Linked DNA regions of Saccharomyces cerevisiae S288C. Changing the gene in region 2 together with the main gene of any one other region gives a genetic interaction. Each region holds a gene or a part of one and is shown on either strand. Other genes may lie near its edges.

Region 1 (4,058 bases), on a different chromosome or scaffold from region 2:
CTTGCTTGCTGTCAAACTTCTGAGTTGCCGCTGATGTGACACTGTGACAATAAATTCAAACCGGTTATAGCGGTCTCCTCCGGTACCGGTTCTGCCACCTCCAATAGAGCTCAGTAGGAGTCAGAACCTCTGCGGTGGCTGTCAGTGACTCATCCGCGTTTCGTAAGTTGTGCGCGTGCACATTTCGCCCGTTCCCGCTCATCTTGCAGCAGGCGAAATTTTCATCACGCTGTAGGACGCAAAAAAAAAATAATTAATCGTACAAGAATCTTGGAAAAAAAATTGAAAAATTTTGTATAAAAGGGATGACCTAACTTGACTCAATGGCTTTTACACCCAGTATTTTCCCTTTCCTTGTTTGTTACAATTATAGAAGCAAGACAAAAACATATAGACAACCTATTCCTAGGAGTTATATTTTTTTACCCTACCAGCAATATAAGTAAAAAATAAAACATGTTGAGAACTCAAGCCGCCAGATTGATCTGCAACTCCCGTGTCATCACTGCTAAGAGAACCTTTGCTTTGGCCACCCGTGCTGCTGCTTACAGCAGACCAGCTGCCCGTTTCGTTAAGCCAATGATCACTACCCGTGGTTTGAAGCAAATCAACTTCGGTGGTACTGTTGAAACCGTCTACGAAAGAGCTGACTGGCCAAGAGAAAAGTTGTTGGACTACTTCAAGAACGACACTTTTGCTTTGATCGGTTACGGTTCCCAAGGTTACGGTCAAGGTTTGAACTTGAGAGACAACGGTTTGAACGTTATCATTGGTGTCCGTAAAGATGGTGCTTCTTGGAAGGCTGCCATCGAAGACGGTTGGGTTCCAGGCAAGAACTTGTTCACTGTTGAAGATGCTATCAAGAGAGGTAGTTACGTTATGAACTTGTTGTCCGATGCCGCTCAATCAGAAACCTGGCCTGCTATCAAGCCATTGTTGACCAAGGGTAAGACTTTGTACTTCTCCCACGGTTTCTCCCCAGTCTTCAAGGACTTGACTCACGTTGAACCACCAAAGGACTTAGATGTTATCTTGGTTGCTCCAAAGGGTTCCGGTAGAACTGTCAGATCTTTGTTCAAGGAAGGTCGTGGTATTAACTCTTCTTACGCCGTCTGGAACGATGTCACCGGTAAGGCTCACGAAAAGGCCCAAGCTTTGGCCGTTGCCATTGGTTCCGGTTACGTTTACCAAACCACTTTCGAAAGAGAAGTCAACTCTGACTTGTACGGTGAAAGAGGTTGTTTAATGGGTGGTATCCACGGTATGTTCTTGGCTCAATACGACGTCTTGAGAGAAAACGGTCACTCCCCATCTGAAGCTTTCAACGAAACCGTCGAAGAAGCTACCCAATCTCTATACCCATTGATCGGTAAGTACGGTATGGATTACATGTACGATGCTTGTTCCACCACCGCCAGAAGAGGTGCTTTGGACTGGTACCCAATCTTCAAGAATGCTTTGAAGCCTGTTTTCCAAGACTTGTACGAATCTACCAAGAACGGTACCGAAACCAAGAGATCTTTGGAATTCAACTCTCAACCTGACTACAGAGAAAAGCTAGAAAAGGAATTAGACACCATCAGAAACATGGAAATCTGGAAGGTTGGTAAGGAAGTCAGAAAGTTGAGACCAGAAAACCAATAAAGAGGAAAATAATATCAAGTGCTGGAAACTTTTTCTCTTGGAATTTTTGCAACATCAAGTCATAGTCAATTGAATTGACCCAATTTCACATTTAAGATTTTTTTTTTTTCATCCGACATACATCTGTACACTAGGAAGCCCTGTTTTTCTGAAGCAGCTTCAAATATATATATTTTTTACATATTTATTATGATTCAATGAACAATCTAATTAAATCGAAAACAAGAACCGAAACGCGAATAAATAATTTATTTAGATGGTGACAAGTGTATAAGTCCTCATCGGGACAGCTACGATTTCTCTTTCGGTTTTGGCTGAGCTACTGGTTGCTGTGACGCAGCGGCATTAGCGCGGCGTTATGAGCTACCCTCGTGGCCTGAAAGATGGCGGGAATAAAGCGGAACTAAAAATTACTGACTGAGCCATATTGAGGTCAATTTGTCAACTCGTCAAGTCACGTTTGGTGGACGGCCCCTTTCCAACGAATCGTATATACTAACATGCGCGCGCTTCCTATATACACATATACATATATATATATATATATATGTGTGCGTGTATGTGTACACCTGTATTTAATTTCCTTACTCGCGGGTTTTTCTTTTTTCTCAATTCTTGGCTTCCTCTTTCTCGAGTATATAATTTTTCAGGTAAAATTTAGTACGATAGTAAAATACTTCTCGAACTCGTCACATATACGTGTACATAATGTCTGAACCAGCTCAAAAGAAACAAAAGGTTGCTAACAACTCTCTAGAACAATTGAAAGCCTCCGGCACTGTCGTTGTTGCCGACACTGGTGATTTCGGCTCTATTGCCAAGTTTCAACCTCAAGACTCCACAACTAACCCATCATTGATCTTGGCTGCTGCCAAGCAACCAACTTACGCCAAGTTGATCGATGTTGCCGTGGAATACGGTAAGAAGCATGGTAAGACCACCGAAGAACAAGTCGAAAATGCTGTGGACAGATTGTTAGTCGAATTCGGTAAGGAGATCTTAAAGATTGTTCCAGGCAGAGTCTCCACCGAAGTTGATGCTAGATTGTCTTTTGACACTCAAGCTACCATTGAAAAGGCTAGACATATCATTAAATTGTTTGAACAAGAAGGTGTCTCCAAGGAAAGAGTCCTTATTAAAATTGCTTCCACTTGGGAAGGTATTCAAGCTGCCAAAGAATTGGAAGAAAAGGACGGTATCCACTGTAATTTGACTCTATTATTCTCCTTCGTTCAAGCAGTTGCCTGTGCCGAGGCCCAAGTTACTTTGATTTCCCCATTTGTTGGTAGAATTCTAGACTGGTACAAATCCAGCACTGGTAAAGATTACAAGGGTGAAGCCGACCCAGGTGTTATTTCCGTCAAGAAAATCTACAACTACTACAAGAAGTACGGTTACAAGACTATTGTTATGGGTGCTTCTTTCAGAAGCACTGACGAAATCAAAAACTTGGCTGGTGTTGACTATCTAACAATTTCTCCAGCTTTATTGGACAAGTTGATGAACAGTACTGAACCTTTCCCAAGAGTTTTGGACCCTGTCTCCGCTAAGAAGGAAGCCGGCGACAAGATTTCTTACATCAGCGACGAATCTAAATTCAGATTCGACTTGAATGAAGACGCTATGGCCACTGAAAAATTGTCCGAAGGTATCAGAAAATTCTCTGCCGATATTGTTACTCTATTCGACTTGATTGAAAAGAAAGTTACCGCTTAAGGAAGTATCTCGGAAATATTAATTTAGGCCATGTCCTTATGCACGTTTCTTTTGATACTTACGGGTACATGTACACAAGTATATCTATATATATAAATTAATGAAAATCCCCTATTTATATATATGACTTTAACGAGACAGAACAGTTTTTTATTTTTTATCCTATTTGATGAATGATACAGTTTCTTATTCACGTGTTATACCCACACCAAATCCAATAGCAATACCGGCCATCACAATCACTGTTTCGGCAGCCCCTAAGATCAGACAAAACATCCGGAACCACCTTAAATCAACGTCCCATATGAATCCTTGCAGCAAAGCCGCTCGGTGTTCTTTATTCATAAGCAACCTCATTAATCTATAGTCTGAAACTAATTTCCTTCTTGAGCTGCAGCCAATAATAAAAAATAATGGCGGCACTATACTACAACATAGGAGGATCACAATGATGTTTTCGATGCTGTAAACGTCCCTGAATCCATTTTGACCTGAATCAAACGAATGAATGGAAGCGGTATCGATATGTTGAATTGGCATTCTCGCCTCCAGGTCTATATTTTCAGCATCGTGCCTGTCTTCTTTCCTATTATCAGTTTTTTCTTGTTGCTTTCGTCGTATGCTTCGAGCTGGCTTTTCTATAATGGAGTTCTGTCCCGTGTCTGACTCCGAGCTTTGAGATTTAATTGGAGCTAGCA
Region 2 (4,806 bases):
ATCATTACTTGCTAGCTTATAACTCTTTTTTTAAAAACTGTTTGGAGAAATAGGTGATTTGTTTGAAGTTGTACTCGAAATCTTGTATGTCACCATACCAAGGATCTTCAATAATGGTCTGCACAGTGCCATCATTAGTATTCCAATCACCAAAAAGGCAAACTTTAGCTTTAGAACCTTCAGGTTGTATTTTTTTTAGGTTATTAATGTTGGATTCATCCATACCGATTATATAGTCATATTCATCGAAGTGTTTGGTCTTTATTTGTTTCCCTTTATGATTAATCTTGACGCCATGTTGCTTACAAATGGACACTGTACGATGATCAGGGCTTTCCCCCACATGATAATTAGAAGTGCCAAATGAATCAATCTTGTTGAATCGATTTTCTAGATTAGCCTTTTCGACTTCATGTTTGAAAATGGCTTCCGCCATTGGTGATCTACAGAAGTTACCCAAACAAATGAATGCGACCGATATTTTTGGTTTTTCAATTGTCATTTTCGTGTTAACTTTCCCTTCTCAGTTTTCTATCGCTTATCAAAAATCACAGGGTTTCAATTAGCCTTTTAGGAGTTATATTCTTTATTGGCTTTATACTTGAATGGTGTGATTCTCTCGAAGGGTTTAACATTCAAGCTCGGCCATGTGCTGGTACAAGGAAAAAGAAAGAAAAAGTAATCATTGAAATTTTTCTATAATACGTACACCTATAATATAAGAAGGAAAAGGACTGAGTGTTTGGAATATTGTTAAAAGTTTGAAACTATTTTTTTGCTTAATCGTTTATAAAAAAAGTTGTATTTAAGTTGTATAAAGTTTTATTTCATTTTTTCACAAATAATATCATATCAAATCTGATGATCTACGATCAGAATTTAGAAAGCTTTTTTCAAAGGAGAAATTAGCTTGTCACCCTTATAGAATGCAATGGTCTTTTGAGCTCTTTCAGCAACACCTTCTGGGGTGAAACCGAAGAACTTGAAGACTTCTGGTGCCTTACCGGAGGCACCAAATCTGTCAATACCGAAGGATTGATGAGCGTATTTGCCCCAACATGTGGTAGCCAAAACTTCAACAGACATGATTGGAACGTTGTCTGGTAAGACTGATAGTCTGTATTCTAGGGGTTGTTTGTCAAAAGTGAAGAAATCTGGTAGAGAAACAACACGAGCCTTGATGTTCTTTGCGGCCAAAGTCTTAGCAGCTTCAACACTCAAAGACACTTCGGAACCAGTAGCCACTAAAATAATATCTGGGTTAGCAACATCTTGTAGTACGTAACCACCCTTAGAAGCGCTTTCAATAGAGCTACCTTCCAATTGTGGCAAGTTTTGTCTGGACAAAGCAATGATACTTGGAGTATGCTTGGATTCTAAAGAGTTCTTGTAGGCGGCAGAAACTTCGTTACCATCAGCTGGTCTCCAAACTTGAATGTTTGGTAGGGATCTGAAGTGTGCTAAAGTTTCAATAGGTTGATGTGTTGGACCATCTTCACCGACACCGATAGAGTCATGTGTAGCAACCCAAATAACTGGGTGGCCAGACAAAGCGGACAATCTAACGGCACCAGCAGCATAAGAAACGAAGTTCAAGAAAGTACCACCGTATGGTTTGTAGTTGGCACCGAAAGCTGAAATACCGTTCATTATGGCACCCATAGCGTGTTCTCTAATACCGTACCTAATGTATCTACCAGAGTAGTTACCTGAACCGGAAGAAGGAGGTTGGAAGTCAAGGGCTTCCTTCCATCTGGTCAAGTTAGAAGGTGTTAAATCGGCAGAACCACCAATCAACTCTGGCAATTGATTGTAAACATCCTCAAGAACAGTTTCTGATAATTTTCTAGTGGCCACGGCAGAGTCCTTGGCGGTGTAAGTTGGCAACTTAGATTCCCAATTTGCGGGTAGTTGGCCGCTCAATCTTCTAGCCAATTCAGCACCTAATTCTGGGAATTTCTTTTGGTATTCGCTGAACAACTTGTTCCACTTGTTGTTGGCTTCGACACCTGGCTTTAAAATTGTCTTTTGGTAGTGGTCGTAAACTTCTTGTGGAACAACAAAGGACTTGTCTGGGTTGAAACCGAATTTGCTCTTTAGTTGTTTAACATCATCTGCTTTCAATGGGGCACCGTGCACAGAGTGAGAGCCGGCATGCAAGGAACCGTAACCAATGGTTGTGGTCATTTTGATCAAAGTTGGTTTGTCCTTGGATAACTTAGCTTGAGCAATAGCCTTGGCAATACCGGCTAGATCTTCGTTACCATTTTCTACGTACAAAACTTCCCAACCGTAGGCTTCGTATCTCTTAGCAACATCTTCATCGAATGAGATACTGGTAGCACCATCGATAGTGATCTTGTTGTCATCGTAGATGGCAATCAAGTTACCCAATTTCAAATGACCAGCCAAGGAGGAAGCTTCTGAAGAAATACCTTCTTGCAAACAACCGTCACCCAAGAAAACATAGGTGTAGTTGTCAGACAAGGTAAAGCCCGGCTTGTTGTAAGTGGCAGCCAGGTTAGCTTGAGCCATGGCCATACCAACAGCGTTGGAGATACCTTGACCTAATGGACCGGTAGTAACTTCAACACCTGGCAACTCAAATTCAGGATGACCTGGTGTTCTGGAACCCAACTGTCTGAACTGTTTCAAGTCTTCAATAGACAGATCGTAACCAGTCAAATGTAGCATAGAATACAACAAAGCGACCGCGTGACCGTTAGACAAGACAAATCTATCTCTGTTGATCCAGTCTGGGTTGGTTGGGTTCATGCGCATTTGACTCCATAGAACGTGTGCAGCTGGTGCCATACCCAATGGAGCACCTGGGTGACCTGAGTTGGCCTTGGATACGGTGTCCACAGCCAAAATTCTTATGGTGGAGACGGCTAGCTTATCAATGTCAGTGAATTGAGTCATTTTGTTTGCTAAAGAGGTAACTATGTAGAGTTGCTTGGGATGAGCTTCCTTCTCTGTTGTACTTCAGTTTGATCTGAAACTTAAAAAACGAAATTTAAAAGGAAGACAACGGTGAGAACAAGAAATGAATGAATCAAGAAGTCACGATCAAGTATGTAGGTAAAAGATCAGGGGGGAGTATGTACGTAACCAAAAAGATTGGGAAAGAGTTTATATATGAATCATGCCTACGATCGTACCTTCTTGGCTTTCCCAAGAAAATTTTTCATCTCTCGAACTTCTCGAGAGATTGCGAACGGAACGGCAAACGCCGCCGGCATTTCTCGGAAAGAAGACTAGAAAATAAATGACGGTGGGAAAAAAAGCAAGAAGCTACGGTTACCCGCAGCGGCACTATAGTAGATGGGCTTTTAAGCCCGTTTTCAGGGTCAGGTAATATGTAATGTAGTAGCACTTAAACTTGCTAACCATAAATGACCAAAATGCAAGTTTGCTGTATTTTAGTCCCGTTGGCGTTTTCGGATGCTTCATTCCCCAGAGAAGTGATGTGTATGCGAAAAATGTCTCAATGCAGCTTTGGCTGCTGCGGAACTTATCCGCTTTGTAAGCACATCTTGTTTTAATGTGTATGAATTTTTATATTTGGTTCGAAAATTATGACATTCGGCCAAGAAACTTTCAGAGGAGCTGTGTATTAGCAGATGGTAAGCGCACGTTGAAAATGCTGAATATTATTAATTTAGACATACCTTGATGGCTGAACAGTAGTCAGAAAATTAAAAAAAAAAAAAAAGCGCTTATTACGGCGTATACACGTAACTATATAGACGTAGATCATTGAATATTGATATGATATAATATTTTCCCCGGGATTGCAGAATACTGACACGCCTTTTATTTATCGTTCATCGTGTATTTCGAACTTGTCCTCAAACGGGCTCTCAGTGCGACTGCCCTGGGTGCTCTCGCGTATCGATTCTGGAATTTCCAAGTCCAGTATAAAACTTCCTTCTTCATCGTCATCTTCGTCGTTATTACCATGGCTTGCCTCGCTTTTTGCCATGTGTGAAAGATCATCCGCCTCTGTCTGTTCTTCAATGACATCCAAGTCCTGAATCTCCTTATCACTCTCTTCCTCTGCGATTTGAACCAGTTTAGGTTTAGCACGAATAGCAGTTATGAGGTTATCGTCTGCGTCCTTATTGAGTACCTGGTTATGCTCGTCATCTTCGTCATCCAGACCATCCAAGATGGAAGAACCTAAGGTTATATGTGACCTGATATCACCAGCTGCATTTTGTCTCTTAGAGCTCGAGCGTAGTTTTGATTGCAGTTTGTCGGTACTCAAACCGCTTGTCACACCAGGAATGTAGGCAATAGGCAAAATATTAGAAGCCCTTGTACGAGTGGTAGATGCTGAACTTCTGTTTCCCGGCACGTTGAGAGTTGGAGGTACCAGTGACGTATTGAACAGGGTGTGACTTTCATCTTTTCTCATACCGCCATCATCCTCATCGTCTTCATCATCATCGTCTTCATCGTCGAAGTATTCCTCTTCATTCCCGTAACTTTGCGATGCCTCTTCCAATTTCAAAGCTTTATTTTTTTGCCTTTTGGGCTTCCAATATCTCTTGTTGATGAAATACAACGCCACCAAGGCAATAAGCATCGCACCACCTACAATACCCACGGTGAACCCCACAATCAACGAGGTTTTCTCATTTGAATTACTGGAACTAGAACTAGAGGAGGAGGAAGATAAACTACTCAGTTGTGAATCGGACTGTTTCGCACAGTATGTGGATGGGCACTTGTCACATGTTAATGAAGTCATAACACAATATTCTCCTGAAGCGCAAACAGGGCATGATGCAGTTGAATCGC
Region 3 (4,570 bases), on a different chromosome or scaffold from region 2:
ATAAAAATTCTTGTTAAATATTTCAGGAACATCCTCCTCTCCTTGGTGGTTGTTATTTTTCCCATTTTGTAACCACCTGCGCATTCTTTCCCTAAATTTGGTAGGCTTTTTCTGCTTCGACTGCTTTGGGGAAGTTGAGGTTATTTCCCCAGAAGGATCATTCTCATATGTGCCAGAGCTTCTCATTGTTGCTAGCTTTTCTACTCTACTTCTATCATGATAATAGGCACTATTGTGAAATTTTTCACTTTTATTTTATTTTCTGACTTCATGATTTTGTGTCGCCTGTTTGCCTTTCCTTACGTAAAAAAAAAAAAAGAAATGGAGATAGTTTCGGGACCCCGTTTATAAACCTTTAATATTTTAGAAAACACATAACTTCATATACTATTTATAATTGCATTTGGATTTATTTATCTATTTATTATTATGATTACTTTTACTATAACTAATCTATTTCATTAAATTTTTTTGGTTTATGTCCAGGTTGGAGATTTCCTTTAAGCTTGGTATGTAGAGGAAGAAACATTACCACCGTGGCCAGTCCAGTTGATATGGATATCCTTGTCTACTGGCAAGTTGTCAGAAGCACATTCTGGCAACACTCTGAAAGTGTGAGCACCAAAGTAGTCACGTTGAGCTTGTAGTAAGTTGGCTGGCAATCTTTCAGATCTGTACCCATCGTAGAAAGACAAAGCGGTGGAAAAGGCTGGTGTTGGGATACCGTAGGTGGTAGCCAACGCAATTGACTTTCTCCAACCAGATTGAGCCTTGGTGACGGCATCAGCGAAGAACTTGTTGAACAACAAGTTTTCCAAATCTGGTTCTTCTCTGTAGGCCTTTGTGATTTGACCCAAGAAAACAGATCTAATGATACAACCACCTCTCCACATCAAAGCGATGGCAGGGTTGTTTAGTTTCCAGCCATAAGTAGCAGCAGCTTCACGGATCAACATGAAACCTTGAGCGTAAGAAATAATCTTGGAAGCATACAAAGCTTGTTCCAAATCATCGACAAATTGTTCTCTGTCCTTGACGGCGTCTTTTGGAACTTCTGGGCCTGGTAAGACCTTGGAGGCTCTAATTCTCTCGTTCTTCAAAGCAGATAGACAACGGGCAAAGACAGCTTCACCAATCAAAGTAACTGGCATACCCAAATCCAAGGCGTTGATGGCAGTCCACTTACCAGTACCCTTTTGACCAGCAGTATCCATGATTTTTTCAACTAATGGCTTACCGTCGACGTCGTCGAATTTCAAAATATCTCTGGTAATTTCGACCAAGAAGGAATCCAAGACACCATTGTTCCATTTGGCAAAAACGTCACTGATTTCCTTATCGGTAAACCCACCCAATCTCTTCATGATGTCATAAGCTTCACAAATCAATTGCATATCACCGTATTCAATACCGTTGTGAACCATCTTGACGTAGTGACCAGCACCGGCTGGGCCAACCCATTCGCAACATGGTTCACCGTCGGATTTAGCAGAGATGGATTGGAAGATGTTCTTAATATGTGGCCAAGCTTCTTCAGAACCACCTGGCATCAAAGATGGACCGTAACGGGCACCTTCCTCACCACCGGAGACACCAGAACCAACGAAAAGAATACCCTTCTTCTTCAATTCTTCGTAACGTCTATTAGAATCTGGGAAGTGAGAGTTACCACCATCGATGATAATATCACCCTTTTCCAAAAGTGGGACGATTTGGTTGATCAAAGCGTCAACTGGAGCACCAGCTTTAACCAAAAGCATGACCTTTCTAGGTCTCTTCAATTTGGAGATGAAATCTTCAATGGAAGTAGCACCGATGATAGATTTGCCCTTAGCTTCATTGGCCAAGAAATGGTCGACCTTGGATTGAGTTCTGTTGTAAGCACAAACAGTGAAACCGTGGTCAGCAGCGTTCAAGATCAAATTTTGACCCATGACGGCCAAACCAATCAAACCGAAATCAGCAGACATTTTATTGTAGTTTTTGTATAGAAAGTGGCTTTTTTCTGTAATGGCAACAATACAGGTTTATATGTATCAGGCTATTTACTTTATTATGTAAGAAAGGACCCCACTAAGAAAAAAGGAAACCTTTGAAAAAGAAACAAGCTCAGGAACAATACTGCAGCTTTTAACGAACATCAGGCCCATTTATATAATACAGCCTCGAAGCCCACCAAGGCCAAAGCGCAAGGCCGCGTGGACCACCAGGACGAAGCACCGCGTAACACCGAGGCACCGTAATGTAACACCGACAGCCACAATAGGTACAAAAGCAGCACAACCTCGAGGCGGGACGAAAGAACAGAGAGGTAGCAGGTGATTTACGTAGTTACTATGTAGCATGCATGGAGTTATGTAGAAGGGACATCGTTGACGTTGATGGGAAGGAATAAACCACTCTTACGTTTAGGTCTCTCTGGGGTTGTCGGAGTAGAACTAGTCTTGAATGGCCGAGGTATGAAATGGCCATCCTTGTCGTTTGGCGGTGGCTTAGGGGTAGAGTGTATAGGTGCCGTTGTATCCTTTATAATTATCGTCGGCGGTTCAGTGAGTGTCGCAGTAGTTGCCGTCGTGATCCTGTTTGCGATCAACGTTTGCAAAGTTTCTACAGTTCTTTCGTTGATGAAAAATGTAGATAATGTTGGTGACAAGATTTTGATGTCGATAGGGTTCTGTAAGCCTGTTCTTCTTACGAAGTGATGGGCCAATGGTATGTCTATGTCACTGTTGTCTCTAAACAAATCTTGTATTGTTTGCGGCGGAAGTGAGTATTTGCTATTGATCAATTGAAAATGGTTTGCTAGTTCTTGTAGAAACCTTAAGGAGCTCGTCGGAAACTGTTCACATAGGGATGTTAGCGATTTTTCGGCCTTAATTAAGTCATCGTAGTGGTTTGAAGGTATTAGGCTGTCGGGTAGCTCTAACAGCCATAATTTTATCAGTCCGACGAGATCATTAGTGACATAGCTGTGCGAGTTTTCAAAAAAATGAGCAGTGATTATAGAGTTTGTATTTTCGGTAGTTTTCGATCCTTTGAATTCCCCCAATAAGTCTCTTTTCAAATTAGAAACCCTTACAAAATCAATATCCCTGTGCCAACTTTGTATGACTTTATTAGCATTTGGTTCCTTTTCAATCTGCCGCAGTATAATCTTTATTGCCCCTAACGTATCAAGAGCAGCCAGTTCATTATTTATTTCACTACCACAGAAAAACTTTTCGCTTTTTATGGAGATTTCTTTGCAAGCGTCGACTGGATCACTCGCTTCTAGGATATTCCACCTGCGAAAGGGTATGCCATTATCCCTGAGGAAAAACCCTCTTACATCCGCATTGGCAGTTTCCTGTGGCAGTTGTGCTTCTTGTAGAGAACACACAGGTGAGTCAGTAAATTTTTCACATTTTTGTTGAAACATCATGTTTGATGATTCTAGAGCTCGTTTGATTCCGTCCTCCATTTTAGAGTAATTTTTACAATAATCATAAATGGTTTTTTCCAACTGCACTTTAGAATATTCCAACTGGCAACACTTGGAGAAAAAAATATCTTGTGATGATTCAAGTTGCTGTTTTAAACTCTTCCACTCATTTTTATTCATATCTGTACTTCCCGCTGCATCGCAATCATCATTATCATGTTGACTAACTTTGCGGATCCAATCGGATATAGATGTTTTGATAGATGAAACGTTGGACTTTTCTTCGTGTTCATTGTCGGAGTGTGTTAACTCACCATACGATTTTTTTTTTCTGTTTCCAGCATTACCATTACTCTCTTGCGTAGCAAGGACTTCACTGTTCCAGTAATAGTATTTTTCCTGGTCAAACTGAGAAACTTTGCTAGAGTAAAAACTCAGGGAATATTCTTGTATTATACCCAGTTGGATGAATTCGTTACCTATCCTATCGATATTAAATAAGGACAGGTTTAGTCTGGGTTCAAGTTTTTTCAATTCTTTGATCAATGACCTGCCTTGGAAACTTTGATTTGACAATCCTGGAACGGAAAAGACACTTTTCTCCAGGATGACTTTTCCCTTCAAGGTTTGCAAAAATGACATAAATTGGTCGCAATCCTCAAATTTTAACCTCTCGTCTAAAGTGTAAGGAAACTCGCATACGAAGTTCAACCTGGTTAACGGTGCACTATCCTTTCCATTATCAAAAACAGAGGAAGAATTTTCCACTGGCGTATTGGCTTTTTTCAATTTATATATAGACTGAACTCTTTTCTCACATCCAATTAGTGCCTCTTTAGCTGCGACTAAATCCTTAATGTAAGCTGAATAACGAGATGACAAATCGTTTTCTGCCTCACGAAGGAAGCTCTCATTAAGATCTCTTAGTTCTTGCAATGGAATTTTACAATCTCTTTCAACTTGCTCTGTTGATATTATATTAAACTGTTTGCTCATCACTTCCAGCAGCCTGCTATTCATTGAATTGGTTGCTTCCATTTTTTGTAAATTGTTCAATGTTGGTTTCCAAAATTTGTTGACAAAATCATTGTAAAATTTGATGTCTTTAATCAGCAAATCATTTTCTCTCTTCATATGTTTTATGAATAA
Region 4 (5,535 bases), on a different chromosome or scaffold from region 2:
CTCTAAAGTTAAAAAGCAATAAAATAGAATATGTGAATACTGCACAAAATGAATACTTGGGAATTCAGAAATTATTCTTACCTTAAGCATCCACTCATATACATATATATATATATATATGTCTTTTCAAAAGACTTCTGCCCAAATTGTGGAGAGAACTCTGCCTCTCCGTGATAACGGCCAAATGAAACGCATCCAATGATGCAATTATTGACAAAGTTTCAAAGTTTCCGCCATTATTCCTTCATTTACACATTGATAGTCGAGAAGTTTCCTAATTAGTGTCACAATGACAGAGAAAATTGTACCAGCGCTTCTAACGAAAATTAGCACCCATACCCAGAGTTCATAAATCTGGCAATGTGGTACAATAATATAGGATTGGTAACATTTCAATTGTAAAATGTTTAACGTTTAGAGAAAAGGGGAGCCAGAACGCTTCTGGTGGTGTAAATACGGAGAAGTCACCTTAAATAGTTTTGTTCTGATAATTGCATTTTTTTGGAAAGATTTGGCTGCTTAAAAGATTCAAGCAATCAAGAGAAACATTACAAGGCCTGCTTGGCCGGTCTACTAGGCTGAAATAATAAGTTTCTGATTATGGTTATCACGGTAAATGATTACGAAAGGGTAAAGCAACGAATGGTTGTTTTATGGTAAGAATACTTTGGCGAATCAACAAATTGAAGTTGCGCAATGTGCGATTCGCTTATGTATCAAAAAAAACTAAAAAATGAATAGAGAAAATCATATATATAAAAGAAAAAAATATCGTACACCTCTTAGGTAACTTGGAATATATTAAACATGTAAAGAAGGAGAAAACATTAACCTGCATTACAATAATGAACAAGAGATGAAAAAATCCGTAAAGCTTCTGAATCGCGAAGCTCACTATCTATTCCATTATCATCATATAACATCATTGCACTCTTTATACTATTTTCAACAAAATTAACGCAGTTTTCCAAACTAGTACTTAGCTTGCCAATCTTGCCACAGGAAAAGATTTTTCTGGTCTTCTGTTTCAACACGTACTTCCTTTTTCCGACAAAATTCTCATCATAGATATTCTGGTTGCTGTTATTGTTGTTATTGCCAGTAAACTCTCTTTTCAATGCGACATCCCTAATGTCCCTTGAACGTAACGATACTAATAGACTTCTTGTGTAATCCGCCTTTAACAGGTCAATCTTCATAGAATTTGTTATTCTGCTCTCTGATTCTTGACCAGCAGGACATGCTTGCAACTGGAAAAAATTGTTAAAATGGGTTAAATACATTGTATATTTCGGCAATAGTTCCAGAGGTTTATTCATCAAGCCATCATCAATATCAGAATCAGTAGTCAAAATATCCGCATAAGAAGAGTTACCTGGAAAAATTTCGTAAGTGGAATTAAGGTCAGCCAAAGAGGGCTGACATATTCTTTCAAAAGCCTCATCCAAAAGATCATCCTGAGAGATCCTTTGGCAATCTCTTTTCAACTCAACGTTCTTTAGTGGAAATTTATATGATATATTCTTAACCAATGGGGGTGCGTGAGACACATCTCCAACATTAGGAGAGCCAGGTGTGCCCATCCAAGGATACTCATCATATTCGCTGATAGACGGTGATTGTTGCGGAGTGGTTAGTGATAACCTGGAGGTTGCTTGCTGCAAAGAAGACGAACTTGAAGTCCTTTGCATATTTCCAGCAGTTGTTTGCAGCCTCTCCCACGACTCGTTGTGTTTTAAAGAAGGGCTTGGTTGAAAGAACTGAGAAATTGTTGGCCTTTTGTTGAACCAAGAACCGTACGAACCAGGTTGGCTTGAGATAGAAGACGATAGATAATGCAATGAACTACTCCCACTTTTGAAGGAAGATGGCTGAATAACTTCCGCTAAAGACTCACTAGAAGACACAGATACTGAAGTGTTCGAGTTCCTCCGATTGGGTATTTGCCATCCTTTCCTCAAAGAATGGAAATTGGGTGATCCAATGCTGTTAGAGCTCACATTACTGTTGTTGTAATTATGATTGCTATTATTTTCTGTGCGACTCAAAAGGTTGTCTGTTGAAGTCAGTGTGCTCAATTCCGTCTCAGGCTTATCGACAAAATTATTGTTAGACTTATTTCTTGATACAGCGGACGAATCCGATCTTATGTTTTCCCGCCGTATCGTTATTTGTCCCTTGTACTTTGGCTCCAATAAAGCCGATAAGATGAACAGTAACTTGTTAGCAACCACCATGTTTCCTGACAGGATTACGATCTTGGATGTCTTTAGTTCTCTTATAGTGTGCCTGTAATCAGATATAATCATTGCCATTAGGAGAGGAAGGAAGCCTAGTTTCGGTCCATCTTTGATTTCAATCCAATTAAATATACTTTTGAACCAAACGTGAACGAATTCTTTAAATGTCTCAGGGTAAAGGAAAAGCCTAGGAATCTCAGACATAGAACGTAAACCTGGTATGACTCTTTTTTGTAAAGTTTGCACCATTATTTCAATTTCCTTGGGATAATGCGTCCTGATGTCAATATTTGACAATTTTATGACTGAATTATTGCTGTAATTGCCAGTATTTTCTTGCATAATACGGTTTTTAGTCAAGAAACCAATGAGCATTTTTTGAGTCTGGGTCAACCATGATGAAATGGAAGACCACGACTCTGCAACTACGGGCAACAATATCCTCGGTATGCATAAGCTAATTGCGATGCGGTTGTATTGGTGTGTGTAATAGAAAATTCTAGTTATGAGTACCAAATCCGAGTTAGGAATCGTCCTTATCTTGTCGCACTGCGTCAAATCGGAAGATCTTACGGGAGAACCAAATATATATTCCTTCAATTCACTCGGCCGTATCTGCTCCATCGAATTTGAAATCTTTGACGTAGTGTAATCGAAGATATCACGGTAGTTGTTCCTACACGCCATTTGACCCGCTTCCTCAATGATCAAAATCCTGAATGCATACGTTTTTTCGTTAATAGACGTGATTTTATCAGTACCAAGACCTCCGTTGTTTTGTAACGTATCGATAGGACGACTATAAGGAATATCCCTCGAGCCGAAAAGCTTCAGTTTTAAGTCATCCGATATATGATCTAAAATGGGCGGAGAAGTCGTTGATAGCATTTCCGAAGGCTTTTCCACATTGACTGCAGTATCTAAAAGAGCTCCAGCAGCGGTCTTAGTAGTTCCTGTGCTTGCCGCTTTGCAGTATACAGGGACATTGGGAACTACGGAGGAAAAATCGGAATGCTCTGAGCTCTTCTCAAAACCAGACGAACTCGTCTTATTTCTCAGTAAATTACCCAACATATAAACTCTCCCTCTTCACCTTCTCTACAAGGCCACACACAAGACAGTTTTAACAGGCAAATGGTACTGGAGGCTCTCACCAATGGGGTTTAAGACGCTCCAAACACACGCTCTCCTTTTTTTCTTTATATATCGGTAGCAACGAAAGCTAGTCGCAGAACGTTACACACTAAAGCAGATCAATCAATCAATCCTGAGAACCTGCTTCGTTCAAACCATCCACTAGAAGAAACACGCACGTGTACCCAAAAATAGAGACAAACAAACAGACAAAAATAACAATGATTCCTACCGACTAAAGTAAAACAACACTCACGTAATAAAAAATCCTAGATACAACTCACTTGTATTCCTCTCTTCTTTGACCATCACTAAAGCTTCTCTCTTACTATATTCCTCAAATAAAAAAAAGTTGCAATGATTACTTACCAATGTGCCATAAACTCCGTGCACCACACTAGCCTTCGATTTGACACATCTCTAAGCTGAAACTGAGAATACTGTTGTAAAACAGGTATTGGCTGCTTCATAGTACACCCAATTGCCCACAACCCAAGTTAATCATAAGCTCTTGTTGTCGATGAATTGCTCAAAATGTGGCCATTCTTTCAATTTTGCACCTCTAAAACTGCTCCGTGGGTTGTGACAACAACCTTAAGGGTAATGGACTTTTTTAGAAAGACAAATGAGATGATTTCACCTACTGGTATATCATTTATTTATACACGACCGTTTTGACATTTCAGAGTTGCACGTTGGTATATCCTAATATTCTCACAAGCATCACAGTGAAGAAACGCAAGAAAATGGAAAAAATTCCCAGGTGGTTGTTGTTTTCTCTTATATCGTCGGTGCTGTGCATACTTGGGGCCCTGTGTGTGCCGTTGTTATCGGTTGCCTTCGATAGCAAGCGCAATAGCCAATCTAAGTTGGTCAACTATGGTCTTTCTCTAAGTGCCGGATCTATGATCACTACTTCACTATACATGCTATTGCCTCGGATCGAAAAATCAAACCGGTTCAAGGTTTTTCCTGGATTGCTTTTGGGTATTTGCCTCAGTTTTTTCTTAAACTACCTAGTCCACGCTTTCGCCAGCGAATCGTTGGTACACTGTGCTGATAGCGGTGACCATGCTACAGGTTCACATATACACTCCAAATCACATTCGCATTCGCACTCACACTCACATGCGGATTCGCATTCGAATTTTAGCAACGATCATGATTTAGAAAATGCTCCCTCTGAGCATGGTTATGCAACATCTTCTTCCAGTGTTTCTGAAAATGACCCGTTGATTACAAAGGATAGCGATAGACCCCAAATGAAAAAGAAAATGTCCCTAATTGACTTATTAACCAGAAGGAAATCAGAAGGCGAGTGTTGTGACCTAAACAAGTGCACTCCGCTCTTGCAATCAGAGCAGCCAGAATATATTGCATGTGTCCCACCAGTGATAAAGTCTTCTCAAAGTGAAAGAAACGTGCCACATGGATGCGAGGGATCAGAAGATAATGGACAATCCGATGACAAGGATCATCGTGGCCTTGTATGCGTGGAAAATAATATCGGTTACGATCTTGAAAACCTATCGTTGTACCGTAAGAATTTTCTTTCGAGCCGCCATCATCATTCCTCTGAATCGCCCGAAAATTATGGTTCCAACCAGTTGTCGCACTCTTTTTCGTCACCTTTGGGAAATGATGTAACTGAGAATCCGGCCGCATTGGCAGACACACAATACCATCCCGAAAATGGTTCATTATACCCCCACCATCATCACTTAGAGACCCCTTTTTCCAAATTACTGTCTATTGGTATGCAAACTTGTCTAGTCCTTGCATTACACAAATTTCCCGAAGGGTTTATTATTTTTTACACTAACAGGTCAGATTCGTCAAAGTCCTTGGGATTTTCCATTTTTTTAAGTTTGACGATCCATAATTTTGTCGAAGGATTTGCAATGACGTTACCATTCTACACTGTTTTCGAATCTAAATGGGTTGCCATTTTGATTACTGCCGTTCTCGGTGGTGGATCTCAACCATTAGGTGCATTGATAGGTTATTTCATCTTTAAAGGTAGTACTCCAAGGGATCACGAACCCAACATGGATTTTTTACTGAGCGTTACTGCAGGGTTCCTATTAGTAATTGGTTTACAAATGTTCCAAACTGGTATCGGATTTAGCGATGGACATCATCATCATCAAGGAGAAGGTGA

Evidence for each region.
Region 1: mutations in TKL1 (region 2) and TAL1 impair growth when combined (synthetic growth defect), as found in Saccharomyces cerevisiae (one study listed by BioGRID).
Region 3: mutations in TKL1 (region 2) and GND1 are lethal when combined (synthetic lethality), as found in Saccharomyces cerevisiae (2 studies listed by BioGRID, with this or other methods).
Region 4: mutations in TKL1 (region 2) and LST4 together harm fitness more than expected from each alone (negative genetic interaction), as found in Saccharomyces cerevisiae (2 studies listed by BioGRID).

What each region holds. Positions count from the first base shown.
Region 1 is NC_001144.5:835,652-839,709, reverse strand, and holds TAL1 (sedoheptulose-7-phosphate:D-glyceraldehyde-3-phosphate transaldolase TAL1), read left to right. Parts: upstream 1-2,352; coding exon 2,353-3,360; downstream 3,361-4,058. Other genes in the region: ILV5 (ketol-acid reductoisomerase), read left to right, coding at 457-1,644; BUD8 (Bud8p), read right to left, coding at 3,547-4,058. UniProt on the Saccharomyces cerevisiae protein: Transaldolase is important for the balance of metabolites in the pentose-phosphate pathway.
Region 2 is NC_001148.4:691,917-696,722, forward strand, and holds TKL1 (transketolase TKL1), read right to left. Parts: upstream 2,923-4,806; coding exon 880-2,922; downstream 1-879. Other genes in the region: tyrosine protein phosphatase LTP1, read right to left, coding at 17-502; OPY2 (Opy2p), read right to left, coding at 3,821-4,806. UniProt on the Saccharomyces cerevisiae protein: Catalyzes the transfer of a two-carbon ketol group from a ketose donor to an aldose acceptor, via a covalent intermediate with the cofactor thiamine pyrophosphate.
Region 3 is NC_001140.6:468,360-472,929, reverse strand, and holds GND1 (phosphogluconate dehydrogenase (decarboxylating) GND1), read right to left. Parts: upstream 1,971-4,570; coding exon 501-1,970; downstream 1-500. Other genes in the region: SSP1 (Ssp1p), read right to left, coding at 1-186; RGD3 (Rgd3p), read right to left, coding at 2,354-4,570. UniProt on the Saccharomyces cerevisiae protein: Catalyzes the oxidative decarboxylation of 6-phosphogluconate to ribulose 5-phosphate and CO(2), with concomitant reduction of NADP to NADPH.
Region 4 is NC_001143.9:114,673-120,207, forward strand, and holds LST4 (Lst4p), read right to left. Parts: upstream 3,315-5,535; coding exon 828-3,314; downstream 1-827. Other genes in the region: Zn(2+) transporter ZRT3, read left to right, coding at 4,121-5,535. UniProt on the Saccharomyces cerevisiae protein: Involved in extracellular amino acid uptake. Required for the trafficking of the GAP1 nitrogen-regulated general amino acid permease from the Golgi to the plasma membrane.